2 linked regions of the Xenopus tropicalis genome follow. The protein of the gene in region 1 purifies or fractionates together with the protein of each later gene. This does not show direct contact. Links are inferred from orthologs where the notes say so. Each region holds a gene or a part of one and is shown on either strand. Other genes may lie near its edges.

Region 1 (3,463 bases):
TTGGGGAAAAAAGGGAACTCTGTTTTATAGCATTCTAGAAAAAGCCCCTGAAATGCCATGACTTCATGCATTTGCCTTATCTTAAAGTTTTAATCATTTTGTTCGAATTTCTTTATAGACTTTATCGTCACAAGACCGTGCTGCATACAAGGAACAGAATTCAAATGTAAGTGAGGTCTGAGGGAGAGAGATTTAAGATGTATGACCTCATCAGGTTTATGTGTATATGGAGCCTTAGTGAAGTGCTGTCAGAATAGAGCACAGCATATGTGTATATATCATCTGTCCTGCATGCTGCCCTGCAAAATGCTTTTACTTTTAACAATGTGAAGTAATGCTATGGGTTGACCATCCAACTTGTAATTTATTTACCTGTTTTTTTTTTTTTGTTTTTTTTGGCAGAAACGCAAAAGTACAACAAAAATACAGACTCCCAGCAACAAATCCAAATTAGTAGTTCAGAGCAAATCGGTAAGTATTTATTATTCTTACGTACCTGTAGGTATACTTGCAAATTGTGCCAAAATGCCAAAGATGACCTAAAATGAAAAGGAATCTATCATCTTCAATTATGAATTTTAATGTAATTCTTTGCGTGCCATGGAGGTTGTTTTGCCATGCCATAAAGACCCACACAATGGCTTATTTATGAATACTTGGGAAATTTGCACCTGGGCAGTAACCCAATCAAGTTTATTCTTTTATTGTTCTTCCTGCAGTTGGTTAAAAAATGGTAACCACTGGTTGTTGTGGGTTACTGCCCAGCTGCAAATTTTTCATTGTTGCTATTGCCCCACATTGATGCATAGATCAATAAAAAAAAAACCATAACCATTGAATCTACAGTGTTGGGAATTCATTTAATACTCATAAATACTGAAAATCAGTTGCAAGTTGCCCCAGAGTACCGCTCCAATCAAGTATTTGCTTTATTTTTCCAACTTTAGTTAATGCAATATGTTGATTTGGTTACCAGGCCTGGGGCAGAAATTGCTCTGTCGGCACCTGTAGGGTACTCCAAACTTGATGCATTGGGTGCGATTAAGTTAATTCTTTTGTTTTATGGCTGCCCTCTATAGGAGGATGATGATGACGATGACGATGATGACGACGATGATGAGGATGATGAAGATGATGAAGATGAAGATAAGGAGGACTCATCTGAAGATGGAGATTCTTCAGAGTCTAGCAGTGATGAGGACAGTGAGGATGGTGAGGAGGTGAGTAACCTTCAGCTGGTTTGGGAGCCTAGAGCTTCCAGTGACAACCCTCCTTTTTTGAGCCACGCTTTCTGCTCTCTACCTGCAGAATGAAGACGAAGAAGATGAGGAGGAGGATGATGAGGATGATGAAGAGGACGATGACAATGAATCAGGATCCAGCTCTTCTTCCTCTTCTTCTGCAGACTCTTCTGACTCGGACTCTAACTGAATACATTGAAATTTCATCCGGACTCGGGGATGGGTTAAAAAAAAAAGGGGGAGGGGGCAATATTTTTACCCTGTTCAGGGCTGTTAGGGTTGTTATAGTATGGCTTGAAATGTGTGGAATCTTTGCCACCAAGTAGGGATGGCTTACAGGGTCAAGTTATAAGGAGATGGATGGCAAATTTCCTTTGAGTGGAAGGGGTTTCCTTTACTTCTTGCAAAAGGAGTCTCCTCTACCTGGTGCCGTATCATATCACTCATTTTTCCTACTGTTGCGTTCCCATGCTCTGTATCATAATGTTCTCAGTACTGTTTTGGTTATTGGACTCCTGTTGTTATCCCTCTCCCTTCTATGTCTTCCTATCTGTGGTGCCCGGGCACCCTATATAGCACTGTCTTTCTATTGCCAGCACTCTCACCTGTACTGAACCTGTCTCACTTTGCCTCCCGCCTTTGGCTGCCCATTCTTATTTCACTTGTGTTCTGTTTTTTATCACAATTGACAATATGGAATTGCCCCTCTGCTTTGTCATCTGCATATTGTCCAACCCACTTGGCCTCACATTATGCTTTGGTCTATATTGGGTCTTGTCCTGCTTGCCCTCTCTATCATTTCCCTGCTTCTTGCCATAATCTCCTATAGCTAACCCCGTTCCCCCACTCTGTCTGGGCTTCAATCTCTTTATCTCATTCTGTCCTTCCAGCGTCCATGCTATTCCTGACAGTGAGGGCAGGAATATATTGCAGCCATGGTGTAATGGTTAATATCACTTCTACTCTGTAATATATGTGGACAGCCTGGGTCAGCACAAGTCTGACCCCTATATGTAATATAATTGTGGGAGGGGGTTTGGCATGTTTTGGGTGGGGGATAACCCATATATAGACAGTCACATGACAGGAAGGCACGCAAACCATTAGAAATGGGATACAATTCCGGCAGGGCCCCAAAGCAAAAGGAATACAAAAACCTTGTTCACAAGAGATTTTTCTTTGTGGGCAAGTGGGCTGTTTAATTCAATTTTTTTTTTTTTTTTTGCTTGTACCTAAAACAATGTTGTATTTTAGCAGACCTGTTTTAGTATCTCTTTCTGTTTAAAAAAAAAAAAAAATTCTTTGATATTGTTTCTCTTTTTGGGGAAATGTAGATTCTTACGGTGTGGTACGAACGCACAGTGAGAGGTAAAACCCTTTTAGTGCATTTTCAGCACTGTGGAAAAAAAAATAGGATGTGAGCCGTGTTACAAATATCTTTTTTTTTTTTTCCCTTTTTTCTGTAATGACGATATTTAAAACACAAAAAGCGCTTTTTTGTAGTTTAAAATGAAAAATGACTAAAAAAAACAAAAAAAATGTGTTTTGTAACATCCATTGATTTAGTGTAGGCAGTTTCAGAAATGCGTGCGTTCTCATTTTTGTTTTGTAAAAAGAGGGCGGGCGGGGAAAGGTTTTCTGTTCAGTACTCTGGAAAATAAAACTTTAGGGAAAATATGTGAGCTTGTTTCATTTCATTCATCAGCAAAAAAAAGAGTGTCTGAAGTGACTGGCGATTGTATTTAGTCCCTGTGTTTTTATGAGTTTTTATGAGTTTTTAACAGTAACACCAAAAATTTAAAGTGTATAAAAGTAATTACAATATAATGTACTGTTGCCCTGCATTGCTACAACTGGTGTGTTTGCCTCAGAAAGACTACTATAGTTTATATAAATAAGCTGCTGTGTAGCCATGGGGGCAGCCATTCAAAGGAGAAAATGCACAGGTTACTTAGCAGATAACGGATAAACCCCCATTATATGGGGCTTATCTACTAGTTATCTGCTATGTAACCTGTGCCTTTTCTCCTTTTTTCCAGCTTGAATGGCTGCCCCCATGGCTACACAGCAGCTTATTTATAAAGTAGCTTTTCTGTAGCAAAAAAAAAACAATTTTTTGCAGAGCAACAGCACATTATATTTTGATTACTTTAAAACATAATAATTTTTTGATGTTACTGTTCCTTTAAATATGAAAGACAGCTGGGGGGTACCTTGCAGTA
Region 2 (4,411 bases), about 9.4 Mb from region 1:
GCCATTTTTGAACACTAAACTGCAATCTAACCCCTACAGGCTTCATGAGGAAAGGGGTCTCTGAGCTGGAGCAACTGTAACCTCTAATCCGCCTTCCCCTAAAAGTGATCATAGGATCTTTCTTTACTATCTTTACATTTTCTGTAAAGGTGATACAGACGAGGTTACTAGTCGCCACAATGTTTAAAATCCAGTCAGGTGACTAATCACCCACCACGAAAGTCGTGGTGACTAGTCACGCGCCACATTTTGCATGCAGCGACTTCTATACTTGTGCATGGAGATTTAAAAAGTATATCAATGAAATGAAGAAAGTCCAAATAAAACCAACTAAGCACATAAAAAGTACAGAAGGTCTCCAGTTATTAGAAAAGGATGGCCAAGTTGGAATTGTTCTCGTACCCACTCTCACACTTTGGGAACCTACACGCAGTATGGAGCCATAACACCAAGACAATTAGTCTGTTGCATGACAAGTACCACATGCATGCTAGCAAGCAAATCCGCTAACAAGCCCAAAACAGCAGGAATAGTCTGAGCAAAGTGGATATCTTTACAGTAAAGCTGGCCATACATGCACCGATGATTCGTACGATATTGGGTGCGTGTATGGCGACTCGGCGAGGCGACTGATATCGCAAAAGGCTGAGGATATCGGTCGACTCGCCGATCAGGCAGGTAAAAAGATTTTGATTGGGTGCCATAGAAGGCGCCTGAGCAGAATCTGCCTTCAGGGCTGAATCGGCAGAAGGAGGTAGAATTCCTATTGTTTTTACCTCCTTATCGGATGATTCAGCCCTGAATGTCTGTGGAGGATGGGAACGATCTTTCCTGCGACCAATGGTCACCCAAAGGATCGAAAATCGCCACATGTGTGGCCACCTTAAGAAAAAAATGTAATATACCTTGTGAGAAACTACAACTCTCAGGGCTTAACCACCCAGTTTAGCAGAGGGATACAGGGAAGAATAGTACTGTAAACTTGTAGGGTAATGTGTCTGAGCTATAGTGCACAAATAGGGAGTGAGCAGGGAAAGCTGGCCAGGGGCAACTAATGGCTGCAGTGAATAATAGAGTGACCATCCCGGGTCTGCGACGCCTACAGCCCAACTATGGCGCTCGGCTCACTCTCCTCCTCCCTTCCCTCACCTCTTGTTCCCGGTGCCGCCGCCTCTCCACATGCAGCCTCCGTTTCTCCAATTCGTGCACCAAGTCCCCACATTTCCCCAGCAGTTCACTCTCCTCTGGGCTCCTGTCTGCGGCCGGCTTGTGCAGGATCACACACACCTGCGGAGAGAAACAGTTCAACCCAAGCCGTCTCATCGTGCCCACAGAATCCTGCAGCATAAGCGCAGCCGCAGCCACTTACCCCCCCGCCTGAGGTACTTACCCCCCCGCCTGAGGTACTTTCCCCCCCGCCGCAGCCACTTACCCCCCCCACCGCAGCCACTTACCCCCCCCGCCTGAGGTACTTACCCCCCCCCCCCGCCTGAGGTACTTACCCCCCCCCGCCTGAGGTACTTACCCCCCCCCGCCTGAGGTACTTACCCCCCCCCGCCTGAGGTACTTACCCCCCCGCCTGAGGTACTTACCCCCCCGCCTGAGGTACTTACCCCCCCCCCCGCCGCAGCCACTTACCCCCCGCCTGAGGTACTTACCACCCCCCGCCTGAGGTACTTACCCCCCCCGCCGCAGCCACTTACCCCACCGCCTGAGGTACTTACCCCCCCCGCCTGAGGTACTTACCCGCCCGTCTGAGGTACTTTCCCCCCCCCGCCGCAGCCACTTACCCCCCCCACCGCAGCCACTTACCCCCCCGCCTGAGGTACTTACCCGCCCGCCTGAGGTACTTTCCCCCCCGCCTGAGGTACTTTCCCCCCCGCCGCAGCCACTTACCCCCCCGCCTGAGGTACTTACCCCCCCCGCCTGAGGTACTTACCCCCCGCCTGAGGTACTTACCCCCCCCCCCCCGCCGCAGCCACTTACCCCCCCGCCTGAGGTACTTACCCCCCCCCCGCCGCAGCCACTTACCCCCCCCCCCGCCGCCACTTACCCCCCCACCTGAGGTACTTACCCCCCCCGCCTGAGGTACTTACCCCCCCCCCGCAGCCACTTACCCCCCCCCGCCGCAGCCACTTACCCCCCCCCCCCGCCGCAGCCACTTACCCCCCCGCCTGAGGTACTTTCCCCCCCGCCTGAGGTACTTACCCCCCCCCGCCGCAGCCACTTGCCCCCCCGCCTGAGGTACTTTCCCCCCGCCTGAGGTACTTACCCCCCCCCGCCGCAGCCACTTGCCCCCCCGCCTGAGGTACTTTCCCCCCCGCCTGAGGTACTTACCCCCCCCCCCGCCGCAGCCACTTACCCCCCCCCCCGCCGCAGCCACTTACCCCCCCGCCTGAGGTACTTACCCCCCCGCCTGAGGTACTTACCCCCCCCGCCTGAGGTACTTACCCCCCCCCCCCGCCGCAGCCACTTACCCCCCCGCCGCAGCCACTTACCCCCCCCCCCGCCGCAGCCACTTACCCCCCCCCGCCGCAGCCACTTACCCCCCCGCCTGAGGTACTTTCCCCCCCGCCAGAGGTACTTACCCCCCCCCCCCCGCCGCAGCCACTTACCCCCCCGCCGCAGCCACTTACCCCCCCCCCCGCCGCAGCCACTTACCCCCCCCCGCCGCAGCCACTTACCCCCCCGCCTGAGGTACTTTCCCCCCCGCCTGAGGTACTTTCCCCCCCGCCTGAGGTACTTACCCCCCCCCCCGCCGCAGCCACTTGCCCCCCCGCCTGAGGTACTTTCCCCCCCGCCTGAGGTACTTACCCGCCGGAGCCGGTCCCGGTTCTGTTCTCGCCGGAGAATTTCCTCTCGCGCTTCCGCCTTCCTCTCTGCGCGCCCCATTGTTGCAGTTCCAGTCAGTGCGTTTGGATAGGAAAGGAACTTCCGCTTCCGGAAAGGTTTTACAATAAAAACATTGCAGCCGAAGACTGTAACAGGCTACTATAGCAGTAGTATATGTATGTTTTATGGCAGTTTAATAACCACGTTGTTATTTTACTAAATCTTGAGAGTGAAATATATTTTTTGCACAAAACTCTTGGTTAAATTTACACGCCAAAAAAAATCAAGGCTCTTGTTTAAAAATGAGATTTAAGTCTCCACCTGATAATAACTGGTAGGCCCAGGAAATGTACTGTACTTTTAAGGGTAACAGACCAGGGAGCGGTTTAGTCACTCACCATAGATCTCTGCTATCACAGGTGACTAACCTGCTCCATGGGTTCCTAGCCTAAATGCTAAATGGAACCATTGTGATCTGATATCTGCGACTGTACTACCATCAAGGGTTTAAAGGAGAAGGAAAGGCTAATAAAGAGTTAATCTCAGATTATCAGAAGCCAAACAGGAAGAAAAAACGCTGAGCTGTGTAAAGAAGATTCCCATAATGCCTCACTCCTGCACCGAGACTAAGGCCAGCTCTTGAGTAAGCGCATTCACATTTAACATATGCAGGAGCGCTCGCGTATAGGGGAGGGAGAAGGTTTGCGCATGCACATCAACTTAAGCTGCGCCATGTTGGACTAATATAAATATCCAATGCAAAAAAGAAGCAAAAGAGCGCTCAGAACGAACGACGAGTGCTCTAAAAGTACCTGCAAAAAAGGTAAAAAAATGTAGCAATCAGCTACAGGTACATGTGGCCTATCTATGTATGGGGTCGAATTTTGAACCCTTTCCTTCTCCTTTAAATACTGGGGAATTCTCTACCAGTCATTTGAACTGAAGAAGCCACTCGGATGAGTGGTGAAAGGTTTTCAAGAAAAACTCAGAAAAGTCCAGTTGTTTTAGACTTAATTCTACTAGATATAAGTGACTAACCGCTCCATAATGGCTTTCCACCAGCAACAATAGGAGTTGGCGGTAGAAAGCCTTTTGCCTTGCTTTGGATTACCCATGTGAAGGGATTTCCACTGGCGACTCCTATTGGCCAACGAGGTTAGCCACCCACAATAGCAGAGATCTATCACGAGCGACTGAACTGCTCCGTGGGTTGCTAGCCTAAATGCTAAATTACATTTCTGAGCAGGTAAGGCATCCATGTTAGCAGTTTCTACTATTAGATCTGTCAGAGTAGAAAGAATTCTAGCAAAGCTGTGAACAAGCCCCATATCACGAGGGAGACAATGATCCTTTCCAGGCCTTTTTGAGACACACGGGGAGATTAGTCGCCTGCGACAAATCTCCCTTGTTGCGGGCAACTAATCTCCCCGAAATGCCATCCCACCGGTGAAAATGTAAATCGCCGGTGGGATGGCATACGCTGCGCCGCGATTTCCCCGAAATCGCAGAAGTTTCAAATAACTGGCAGGTTGAGATCATAATCCTTTTATGAATACAATATCTTAATTACATCAGCTTT

What was found. Proteins that work in one complex are often made in the same cells at the same time.
Region 2: the proteins of ubtf (region 1) and sirt7 purify together in Homo sapiens (affinity purification with western blotting; 3 studies listed by BioGRID, with this or other methods). This does not show direct contact. The link is inferred for Xenopus tropicalis from reciprocal best matches to the Homo sapiens genes UBTF and SIRT7.

What each region holds. Positions count from the first base shown.
Region 1 is NC_030686.2:18,512,480-18,515,942, reverse strand, and holds the end of ubtf (nucleolar transcription factor 1), read left to right. Parts: intron 1-118; coding exon 119-166; intron 167-402; coding exon 403-471; intron 472-1,079; coding exon 1,080-1,220; intron 1,221-1,308; coding exon 1,309-1,431; 3' UTR 1,432-2,918; downstream 2,919-3,463. UniProt on the Homo sapiens protein: Recognizes the ribosomal RNA gene promoter and activates transcription mediated by RNA polymerase I (Pol I) through cooperative interactions with the transcription factor SL1/TIF-IB complex.
Region 2 is NC_030686.2:27,960,136-27,964,546, forward strand, and holds the start of sirt7 (NAD-dependent protein deacetylase sirtuin-7), read right to left. Parts: upstream 2,909-4,411; 5' UTR 2,893-2,908; coding exon 2,815-2,892; intron 1,288-2,814; coding exon 1,150-1,287; intron 1-1,149. UniProt on the Homo sapiens protein: NAD-dependent protein-lysine deacylase that can act both as a deacetylase or deacylase (desuccinylase, depropionylase, deglutarylase and dedecanoylase), depending on the context. Specifically mediates deacetylation of histone H3 at 'Lys-18' (H3K18Ac).